2 linked regions of the Cricetulus griseus genome follow. The protein of the gene in region 2 purifies or fractionates together with the protein of the main gene of each other region. This does not show direct contact. Links are inferred from orthologs where the notes say so. Each region holds a gene or a part of one and is shown on either strand. Other genes may lie near its edges.

The links. Proteins that work in one complex are often made in the same cells at the same time.
Region 1: the proteins of Kbtbd8 (region 2) and Pkn1 purify together in Homo sapiens (affinity purification with western blotting; 3 studies listed by BioGRID and IntAct, with this or other methods). This does not show direct contact. The link is inferred for Cricetulus griseus from reciprocal best matches to the Homo sapiens genes KBTBD8 and PKN1.

The regions. Positions count from the first base shown.
Region 1 is NC_048596.1:160,715,640-160,721,443, forward strand, and holds the start of Pkn1 (serine/threonine-protein kinase N1), read left to right. Parts: upstream 1-2,359; 5' UTR 2,360-2,535; coding exon 2,536-2,556; intron 2,557-5,804. UniProt on the Homo sapiens protein: PKC-related serine/threonine-protein kinase involved in various processes such as regulation of the intermediate filaments of the actin cytoskeleton, cell migration, tumor cell invasion and transcription regulation.
Region 2 is NC_048601.1:48,704,342-48,710,153, reverse strand, and holds the start of Kbtbd8 (kelch repeat and BTB domain-containing protein 8), read left to right. Parts: upstream 1-2,096; 5' UTR 2,097-2,179; coding exon 2,180-2,195; intron 2,196-2,738; coding exon 2,739-2,949; intron 2,950-5,812. UniProt on the Homo sapiens protein: Substrate-specific adapter of a BCR (BTB-CUL3-RBX1) E3 ubiquitin ligase complex that acts as a regulator of neural crest specification.

The DNA.
Region 1 (5,804 bases), on a different chromosome or scaffold from region 2:
GATGCTTCAGGGATCTGCTGGGACTTTTATCATTGTTATATGGGGATTTTACAATTAGTTCTATGTCCCTTTTAAAGCCTAGAGTACAGCTCTGTTTCCAGTGCACCCAAATCCCTAGCAGACAGTGATAAAGACTGACTGAGTAAATGAACACTGGGAGGTTGAAGGAGAGCCTGGCTGGATTCCCATGCTCCATCCCCAGAGGCAGCTCAGAACCTGGCAGGCAGGGCCTGGGCAAGGTTTTCCCCTGCCAATCCCATGCCCTCCTCAACTGTGAAATGGGCGGGTTCCTTGCCCACTATGCAGGGGCCATGAACATCATGTCTTGATTATGAAGGCAAGGGGTTCCTCTCTTTTATCAATCTGCAAAAAGGAAGCCAGATGATTAGTTTGGCAAGCTATTTAATTCACTCAGCACACATTTGAGGTATAATTAGGATGTTAACTTGCTGAAGGGGTGAGGAGAGACATGGAGAAGGCAAGGGCATCATCACACAGGGCCTGGTGGGTTCCTCCTAGAAATGTCTAGGCTTTAGGTGTTCATAGGCCCCCTTGGGCTGTGCTTGGAGAAGAGACTTTAGGAGGAGGCTGGGAGACAAGAAGGGTTCTACTCTGGTCCAGAAAGATCAGTGATGGTGTACTGGGCTTGTTGAGGGCTTGGGCAAGATGCTAAGGGAGTGGCTTCCCTATTGTTTCAATTTTCCTCCTCTCGGTTAAAATCCCAGAGAGAGAGAGAGAGAGAGAGAGAGAGAGAGAGAGAGAGAGAGAGAGAGAGAGAGAGGTCCCTGGGAGGACAGAGACACATAGATATACTCTTGTTCCCCTGTGCCAGCACTGATTCCTGGAGGGCACCCACTGTAGGTATTACCCGGAGCCCTGAGGACCAAAGTTTGAATCTCTCACTGGGTTTCTGAGTGAGAGGTCCTCACAGCTACCACAGTATAAACTCCACCTGCATTACTGTGGTCCCCCAAGAGAAATTCTGCAGAGGCCTCTATGGTCCATTTGGACAGTATGGGAGTACCGTATGAATGCTGCATCCAGGAAAAAGCCAGCAAAACTTCACAGAGGGCAAAAACTAGAGCCCCCAGGGATCCACAAGGCTCAGTGCATCAGAGGCCATGCTGAGGTTCAAATTCCTTTATCAATAGTGGCAAAGGAACTGCATGTCTGGTGAGATAGCTCAGCAGTTAAAGGCACTTAAGGCCAAGCCTGATGACCTGAGTTTGGCCCCCCCCAAAAAACGATAGGGTGGAAGAAGAGAACTGACCCTGCAAGTTGTCCATTGACCACCACACATTTGCCCTGGCTTGTGCATGCACGCACAAACACACAAGTCAGGCCCGGAGCAGAGCACCCAGGTGGGATGGCTCACAGTCCCATTTATAACTTCATTCTAGGGAATCCCATGTCCTCTTCTGGTCTCGAGGCCCTGTACATAAGTGCATAAGAGTCATTTCTAGCAAATATTATAAAACTTATGTTTTGGACAGTAATTACAATCATTATCTCCCCTACCTTGTAAGACTTTATGGAGATATTTTAATCTTCCCTACCCAGTAAAACTTTTGTTTATACATTGCCCCCCCGCGGCCCCCCCCCCCGCTCCATTCTAGGAATTTGCTGGCTTGGAGAAGTGACCCCATCCCCCTTTCTCCTCCACTCCTTCTGTACCATTTTTTTTCCAAACTAGCCAATTGAATAAGATTGTGAGGTCACCTGAGTTAGAATAAAAACCAAATGTACTTCCTGTCTCCTTGTTTGGTTTTCCCCAGCACTGTCTTGATCAAGAGCAAATTTTGCCTTGTTCAGACATTTCAGTTAGAATGGTGGTCTCTTTCTTGGCCACTTCGAACGTATTTCTAACATACATAAATCAAAATAGTCTTCAAAACACTAACAGTGACAGCTGCTGTCATTTTTTTCTTTTTATAAACTTGAGGTCTCTGCACTTGGCCTACTGTTTCTCATTAAGTTTTACGGACATCCTTGCCTTGAGGGGTAAGGTGGTCTCCAAAGGCCGGGGACCTGGGATTTGAAATCCTGTTCTCACAGTGCTTGCCTCCGGGAAAATGGGAGGATGAGCCTGTGCTGCTGGGCAGCGGGGAGATGGATCGTGACTTTTGCTTTCTGAGGGATCCGAGGCGGGGACAAGGCCTCTCTGAAGCTCGCGACGGCTTAGGCCTCTCGAGAGTTCCAGCACGCTACAAGGAGCGCAGGGCGAGCCGCACGCACAGCAAAGGAGACCCCCATTCCCGACTGCAAGCCCCGGGGGCCGCCGGGAGCCCCGCCCCCATCCGCCCCGCCCCGCCTCCTCCCCGGGCGCGGACAGCGGCGCTCACGTGACCCGTCCTGCGCCGCGGGCCGGAGGGCGCAGCTCGGCGGAGGCCTGGCCAGGCCGGGCCAAGCGAAGCAGGCCGGAGCGCGCCGCGCGCCAGGGAGGGTCTGGGCGCCGCGCCTCCCGCCGCGCCCGCTCGCGCGCTCGCAAGCCCTCCCTCGGCGCTGGGACCCCTGGCGGGCGGGCGGCCGGAGGACATGGCCGGCGACGCCGTGCAGGTAGGAGACTGGTCCGCACCCGCGGGGCGGCCGGACGGCACGAGGACCCCAGGCACCGGGAGAGCCCGGGACGAGGTCCCCTTAGGGAGTTCGCGCGGGCCCTTGTAGCAGGTCGGGGCGTCGAGGTGCTCGGAGGAAGAGGTGCTGTTCGCGATCCTGCCACCGCACCTCCTCCTCCGGCCCTCCGCGAGAGTCAGCGGGCGCAACGGGGACGCCGCTTGGGTGTCCCAGGCCAGCTGCGGGTTCCGTCCCCACGCCCTGCTCGCCCAGGACCTCAGCGTTCCGTTTCTGGCAGGTGCCGCTTTACCTGGAGCAGGTGCCTGGCGCCCTGCCGCGCGGCCCGTGCCCCTCCCCCGCACAACAAAGCCGGGCCACCCCCGCCCGCAGACGTCTTTACGATGATTTTGACGCCACCAGATGGGCACCTGTTGGAGGAAGTGCCTAAGTCACTTCATTAGGCCAGAGGCCGGTCCCCCCCGCCCCCGCCCTTAGTCACCCTTCAGCCTGACAGATGGAGCCATATCTCAGGTGGGGCGTGTCCTGTCACAAAGGCAGGAAGGATTTTATGTCTGGAAGGCGACAGGACTGGGTAACCGCATCCTTGCAACAGACACCTGTGACTGGCATCTGCCAGCCCATGGCCTTCCCTGTGTTACCTGTTGGGCATTTCTGAACTCACCTTCCCAAGAGGAAGCAGGGTCAGGATCACTTTCCACTCTCTAATTTAATGACCCAAATCTGAGATCTTGGTATCTTTGTGACTCCATTAGTTCTTCACCATGAAGTCCATTGTCCTATGTAACTGGTTTTCATCTTCTGCACCTGCCCCGTGTCTCCCCTGCACCCTCCTGTACCCCTCTTCCCCAGTCCTGCTGATGGCCTGCCGGCCTTGCCGAGGAGCTGGGCGTATCTGGTGCTGCCGATCTCACAAGGTCAGACCTCCGGAGAGGCGTGATGCACTGGGTGCTGGCTCCCCTTCAAGCCCACAGAGGGCTGTGGAGGGCTTTCCCAGAGCGTGCATGTGCTTGGGGTGTCCCACACAGGGCACATATGGAGGCTGTGATTCCCAGAATGAGTCTGGACCAACATCTCGTCTCCTCTCTGTCTTCTCCCTTAAGTTCATTCCTGCTTGGACTTGCTGCCCTGCCTCACTACCTCCATGCCTGTCTGTTCTGTGTCTGGCAAACGGATGTCCTGTCTAGATTCTGGGAACGCCCCAGGCATTGAAATCTCAGGATGTGGGGTTCTGGATCCCTAGCTACTTTGCCAAGAAGGTTTCCCAAGATGAGAGTTCTTGGTTTGGTGTCTCCAGGTCTGTGATGGCAGGTGGAGAAGCTGATGTTCTAATTCTTCAAGACCAGGCCAAGCATTTGCCCTGCTGCCCTTAAGTGACTCCTTGGCCCTGGGCAAGTGAATCACCCAGGGGAGGAGGACCCAGGAGGCCTTCCTTGCATGCGTTACACATTCTCAGGCCTCCTCTACTGGAGGTGGGGCTGAGAGCCTTCACTTTTCCTCTTTGCCTGTATGCTCCCCATTTGAACTGGCCCTGCTCCTGGCTGTGTACCTGCTTTGCCTGATGGTGGGGGGAGGGTGATGGTGAGGGACCGTGGGTGGGGCCCAGTCATGCCAGAGTGTTGTTTGGTGAGGCTGGGCTTAAATCCAGTGCTGTCTTCCCTGATGAACTCCTGGGTGAAAGCCATTACTTTTCTGAGTCTTGTTCCTGTTTTGGAGGAGGGAATGGGGTTATGAATGGTTATGAGAAGAGAGGTGGAGTCTCAGCCAGTGCTCTAAGGGCCTCTGTGACGTCTTTACCTGTGAACATGGTGCTTGGTAGTCCAATCCGGGAGCCCATGCCTCTTCCCAAGGCCCCAGCACTGGTATTTGGGTCTGGATCGTTTTGTGGCGGGGGCTGTCCAGTGTGCCTCAGGGTGCTGAGCAGCAGCACTGGCCTCCACTTGACAGGTGTCTCTTGTGTACCTTGGTTGTAATGACAACCAAGAATGACCCCAGACATTGACATGTATTTCTAGAGATGATGAAAAAACAACCCCATCTTCACTGAGAGCCACTGTTACGGCCTTTTTGAGTCCCAGTTTCCCCCCATGGTGACTACTATTCAGAATAGTAGTCACCATGGGGGGGATGATATATAGAGAGGAGATGATAGGATCATAGATCTGTGCTCTTGACCTGCAATCTTATCTACTCTCCAGGAGGGCTTAAGAGCCTAGGAGAACTTTGCTCACAGTGGTAAGGTGTGGTGCACATGGATCCCTCCCAGTTAGTGTTAGGAAGCTTGGCCCTATCTCTTGCTGGCTGTGGGATCTTAGGGCAAGGGGGCCTTAGGTAGTTTCTTCCTTTCTTCTTTTTTTTGGTTAGGGTCTCACTGTGTAGACCAGTTGTCTTGGAACTCAGACATCCTCCTGCCCCTCTTGCTGGGTATAGGGATCAAAGGCACGTGGCAGAAAGCCTTGCTGGGCCTCAGTTTCTTCATTTTGCAGATAGTTTGATTTCTGTCTATGTATCTGAGGCATCTGCATCATGCTGTGCCAGATGTGAAGGTGCACGCCACAATTCTAGAACTAGCAAGGAGGAAGCAAGAGGGGCAGGAGTTCAAGGCCAGCCTTTGCTGTGCATTGAATGCAAAGCCACCTTGTGTTACATGAGACCTAGCACAGAACACTATGAAGCAAAACAAAACAGGTAGTACCTGTAACATGGAATGACATTAGTTGAGACTTGGATGGATTGTGTAGCTGCTGTTGTTGTTACTTACGAGGTTCGGAGCTTGTACATTCTACCAAACTTCACCCACTGCTGTTACTACTACTTTTATTGATTTTATTGTTTTTAATGATGTATATTGGGGGGTATGTACATATACCCGAAGAAGCCAGAGCCATCATCAGATCCACCTGGAACTGAAGTTACAGGCACTGCTACTAGGACCTGAACTCAGGTCCTTTGGAAGAGCAGTGTGAGCACTTAACTGCTGAACCATCTGTCCAACAACACTCCTACTATTTTTAAAAATGTTTTTGTTTTAGAGCAGTTTTAGGTTCACAGTAAAATCCAATGGAAAATAGAATGTTTTCATATATACCTTGTCCCTGATACGTTTTAACTGTACCACTGATAGTTCAGATTTAGTGTATATTTGGCAAACAAGTGTGGTCTCCTATTTGGGGCCACTCAGGGCTGTCTTCTCCTGGAGTGAACTTCAGGGAGCTACTGTTAAGGCAGGTGGG
Region 2 (5,812 bases):
GGCTGAGTCAGGAAGATCAAGTTCCAGGCCAGACTGTATGTAGCTAGACCCTTGTCATTTCAAAAATTTAAAACAAACAAACAAAAAATAGAAAATTGGGCAAGTGTCTCTTCAAGAGTAAGTAGAATTTCCCTTATTTTAACAGGATTGAAAATTTGCTGATTAAATTTGAACTTCAGTTAAACAGTCAGTTGTATGCTCCCCCAAAATGCATGCTCTATGCTTTATTTGCTAAATCTATCCTGAGCATTAATGCCATTATTTCTTAGTGTCCTCAGTATTGTGATCAAAATCATTTTACTAAATTGAATGCATGAAAAATGCAAATTCAAATTAGAATTAACAAAAAGTGAAATCAAATCCATCGTGTATAGACAGACTATGCTGATAAGCAAGCCTTTCATGTTTCATAAGGACTGTGAATGATGTCCATAAGCCCCGATTCCCAGGAAGCACATCTCATTCATTCACATAGCAGTATAGTACTCGGAACTTTGTTGTAACCAGTCTTTGTGGGGCTTCAGTCAGATCCAGCTGACTTGCCTGGTTTGTACCTGAGAGGGGGAGTGTGGATTGAGAAATGGCAGGTAAAGATACTCAGGAAGAGAAAGACACAGAAGAGGGTCAGAAGGGCAATCCAGTGAATACTGGATACAAGGAAGAAATAGACTTTCTTCCTTCATTCTCCAAACATTTGGTAACCATGACTTAGACTAAATTTCTTGTTATCTTGAGGGTCCAGAGTAACCACAGCCTCAGAGCAAGTTGCTTTTTATTTAGATAAGATGTCCATGACCAATACCAAACATCCTACAGTAGCCACACCTTAGACCTTTAGGTCCAAAGACTTTAACCTTGGAAGAGTAAGGATTCAGTTTTGAACTCTGACCTTAAGCCAAGATGAAGCAGAACCATCTCTCTCGGCCCTGACAGGACTTTGAGTTTCTAGAACACTTAGGGAATAGAACTCAACTATTTTAAATGATACCCAGTCTTTTTCAATCATAGATGAAAATTTCAAGACCCTTTAGTACGTTCACCTGGGGCTGATGGTGTGCTTGCATGAGGCTTCTATAAGCATTTCAACGGATCTGATGGATGGACAGGGATGGATAAAATTCCTGCTTTCTTGGGGAAGACTATGAGGTAGACAGAATGCCAGTGCTAATGGTGATTAGATGTTAGGGTAAGGGATGTATGTTCAAGAGCTGGAAGAGCTTGTGTAGGAGTCAGGAGGACTTCAGCACTGTCCTGGCAAGCTCCTCTCTCCAGCACTGTCCCAGGTTCAGCCTCTCTCCAGCCCAGAGGACTTATTCACTGTCAAGGGGCCCAGGGGAAATCAATCATCCGCCCCCGCCCCGCTCCAGCCCCTCCCCCACCCCCACCCCCGCCCTAATGCTCCTGTACTCTTCAGTGGCACCGGTGTTTCCTGGGTGAGCTAGAAAGGTAAGCCAAGTGGATTCTGGTCCTGAGTGGCCTTGTAACCAGATCCAGATCTGTGAAAAGCAGGGCATGTGACTAAGGTGATGCAATTTCAAATGGACGTCACAGGTGACTCATCAGAGGTTTGCTTTGGGGCCTACTGATATTTTTCTTCTGGGCGGGGTGTCTTATTTCCTCTGCATTTTTTGGATAACAGCCCTGGTGACCATTTCCAACTTTTCAGAGTTTCAAAGCCGTCATGTAGAGCGCTTTTTCATACGGGGAATCTAGTCACGGGAAGGGAGTTTGGGGAATGAAAAAATTGATTTTTAAAACGGAGAGAGGCCTTAGCCAGGGAAATGTGAGCTACAAGAGCTTTTCCTACCTCACGCCTCAGAGTGACAGCGCTCCTCAGCCAGAGGACTACATTTCCCGGCGGGCGCTGCTTATCTCACAGGCACAAGCTGGCGGGTTCAGGGCTCTCCACCTCCTCCCAGCTAGCCAATAGGAACGCCCGGCTTGAGCCTCTGCCCGACAAGGAGCACGCGGGAACCGCGACACTAAAACTACATTTCCCGATGCGCAAGTGCTCGAATACTGACCAATCAGCGCTATGCATTTCGAGGCCGGGGGAGGAGCCGGCCTGGTCAGCCACCCCCATTGGCTAGGCGACGCTTAGTAGAGCCGGAACCCGGGAGCGAGCGAAGCGCAATGACATTTCCTCTTTAAATAACCGGAGCCGGGGCCCCTTGGAGAAATGGCCGCGTCGGCAGGTGGGTGGCGTGGTGCGGCCGCCACGGTGCTGGAGGAGGGGAGCAGGAGCGCGGTTGCCGGCCCCGACCTGAGAGGCGGCCGTAAGGCGGGAGGGAAGGATGGAGAGGCGGCGGGCGCGGGGGCGAAGATGAATGGGGAGGAGGGCGGTGGGCGGCGCGCCCGCAGAGACGCGGCGTCTGGGTACCGGCCGCCCGCGAGGCGGTTGAGGGGCGCCCTGGCGTTCGCCCTCGGTCGCGCTGCCCTCGGGAGGCTCTAGCTCCGCGCTCGGCCCCGAGCCGAGTCGCCGCCGCCGCCGCCGGTTCGGCTAGCTCGCCTCACACCCTCCCTCCCTCCACGAGCGCGGCGGTCCGGGCTCGCCGGGCTCCCAAGGAGCGCACCGGCCTGGGAACTTGTTCGCCCTCGCTGGGCTCTCGTCTCCCAGAGCCTACATGGGCGGTCCTGTGCCTAGACACAGGATTTTGTGTAAAGGGTGAGGGCTGAAAACCCACGGACGCCTTAACTGGCTTCGAACTTCTTGTGTCTGTGCGATTTTTTCCTCCTAGATTTAAGTAAGTCTTCCCCAACAACGAATGGAATTCCATCTTCAGACACAGCCAACGAAGCCATGGACCCCTTCCATGCTTGCAGTATTCTTAAGCAACTCAAAACAATGTACGATGAAGGACAGTTGACAGACATTGTAGTGGAAGTGGATCACGGGAAAACATTTTCCTGCCATAGGAACGTTCTTGCTGCAATCAGCCCCTATTTCAGGTATGACGACGGTAGAAAGTTGTATTACTACCCTTCCCAGTATTGCCCACTTGGTTGTGACACTGAGCTGGGACAAATAAATAAAGGCAAACAATGCGTTTGTTTTCTCAGAGTAGGTTAACAGGCCTTGTCTTATTAATGAGCCCTTGATTTGAACTGTGGGGTTTTAGAATTCAGATAGATGGATTTTAAGTTAGTGAACCTCTGTGATGTGTTCCCCAATATGGAAGACGCCTGCCGCACGTGAACATTATAATGCTTTAAAATTAAAACATTCAGTAACTCAGCTACACTAATACATGTCAAGGGCACAGGCAGCTACATGTGGCTGCTATATTGGGCAGCGTAGATATACAGTGTTTCAATCATTGAAAGTTTTATTAGAGAATAATCAATTATTTTTAAAAATTCATTTTTTAGCATGTATAACATTTTTTTTAGTTTAAAACATAGGAACTTGTTCCTTTACCAGTAAATTAGGACTTAGGAGATTGTTTTAATGCCATGGAGTTTTGTAAAAAGTAGTGGAATAAATGAAATGAAAGTGTGTGTTTATGTCTTCGTTTCCAAGATTCCCAAGAGTATTACTTTTTTCACTTTCTATTTATTTTTATCATAAAATACTGAAAAGTGAACACTGTAAGCGTGGGTCTGAAAACTAAGTTCTTATTCTAAGATCAGGTGAATCTTAGAATCAGGTGATGGGAAAAGGTACTTTCTGTCAGTGCATAAATGTTTTGTTTCAAGTATTGCTTCTAAAAGCCCTTCGGTATTCAGCAGTGGCTCATGAAAGACAGGAAAAGCATCTTGTCAGCCTCACTCCTGCTTTATCTTTTGAGGTGCTTATAGGGCACATCCCACTATAATGTTGGGTTCATTAGTTTCTTGTTCCTCTTTCTCAGGATGCTGAACAAAAGAAGTATGGTTACCATAGGTTTTAGTGTCTAGGAAGTTAAAAAAAAAATGCTTGGAAATATTTCTGAACATACCATTCACATAAAGATGTTGCTAGAAAACTAAAAACCTAAATTCTTTTCTGCACACAAGTTTCTTGGCTCCTGATATGGGAATCTCAGAAATCATACTTAACCGTTAGCCTTGCATCTCAGGTGAAAGAATTAGAACAGCTGGAAATGTGACATGGCTGCTTCCTGATCCAGTGATTTGTCAAAATTAATGATTATGGAAAATGCTCTACTTGGGATTTTGTGGGAGGAAGCACTCCCAATGTATTTAGAGTACATGAAGACCCTTTTAGGGAACTCACCAAGGTGTCAGGCCAGTTCTCTGCATTAGCCTAGTCTGTTGAAGGCAAGAGGGGCTCCCATGAAGATGGGATATGTGAAGTTATTCTTCTACCTAATGAAGGGCTGGACTTAATTGGTAGCTATATAGGTGAATCACTTATCACCTGAACTGAAACCAGCTCAAATATAGAAACATCTGATTTGTAGTTAGTCATCAAAGCCTGTGGTAATATTAAACTTAAAACTTTATTGAAGTGAAAAGATAAGTAATCAGTATACCAAGTTGAGCCCTTGTACACCCTCCAGGTTTCTTATACTCCATTTTAAAATCTCATGTATTGAAAGCTGGAGAGATGACTCAATGGTTAAGAGCACTAATTGCTCTTACAGAGGATCCACATTTAGTTAGCAACACCCATATCAAGGCACTCACCACCACCTGTAGCTTCAGCCCTCTTGTAAACTTTGTAGACATCTGCACTCCCATGTGTACAACCCTGCATATACATACACATAAGCAAAAGAATGAAATCTTAAATGAAGCCCTATCTATTTGATAGAGACAGCAAAGGTGTCTGCCCATTATCCCACTTGGGACACTTTCACAAAATATAAGTTACTTTTATCCCGGATACCATACCGATTTTTTCAACAAATTCTATTAAGCACCCCACATGCTTTTCAAAAAGAATGAAAGCACACACATTGGGCTTTTGGAGGATTTTTTTTTTCCCCCTAGAATGGTTGGTTGTGGAAGTGCACGCCTTTAATTCCAGCACTTGGTGAGTCAGAGAGGATCGCTGAGTTCAAGGCCAGCTTAGTCTACAAAGTGAGTTCCAGAACAACCAGGGCTATGTAAAAAGAACCTTGTCTCAACAACAACAACAGAATGAAACCTTACAGAAAAGAAATGATGTTTACAAATGAGTCACACTTAGAAGTACAAGTATTTTTTTATCTGCTTACTGTTTTGGAAAAGAATGTTTCATAAATACACTCAGTTAAAAAAAAAACAAAAACTAGACTATGTGTTAAATATTAAATTCTATTTAGAAAAAGGCACTCTGTTAACCCTATCATAATTTTTTGTATGGCTATAAATAGGTAAAATACAGGAACTTTAAAATGAAATGTATTTATTTTAAGGAATAGTTTTCAAAGTGTCCAAGAATAAGTAAAGTAGTCTTTAAAAAGATTCCAGTTTTAAAAGTCATAGGTGAAACACAAGTACTTTTGAAGAATGCTGTTCTCTTCCTGAGATGAAAATTTGCTTTGTGCATACAAGTTCCTTGTAATTTTCACTGGACCATCAATTATTTTATTTGGCTTATTGTGCTTAGGGCTAATTTTGCTATCCTGATGATATCTTGAACTTTTTCTGGGACATGACAGTTTTTAAGGTTCATTATCTGTAAGGCAATTTGACTAGAAAGAAGCTTGATATGTGCTCCAAGGACAATCAGATCTGAAATATGTCACTATGGTTTGCTTTCTTACCAATATTCTCCTTTTTCCATACTTAGCATGTAAGACCAGAATCCTGCCCCTCTCCCTTTCCCAGGTCTTATGTGGACTCTGGTGAGACTGAGAAACCCAGTTAGCCCAAGATCTGATTA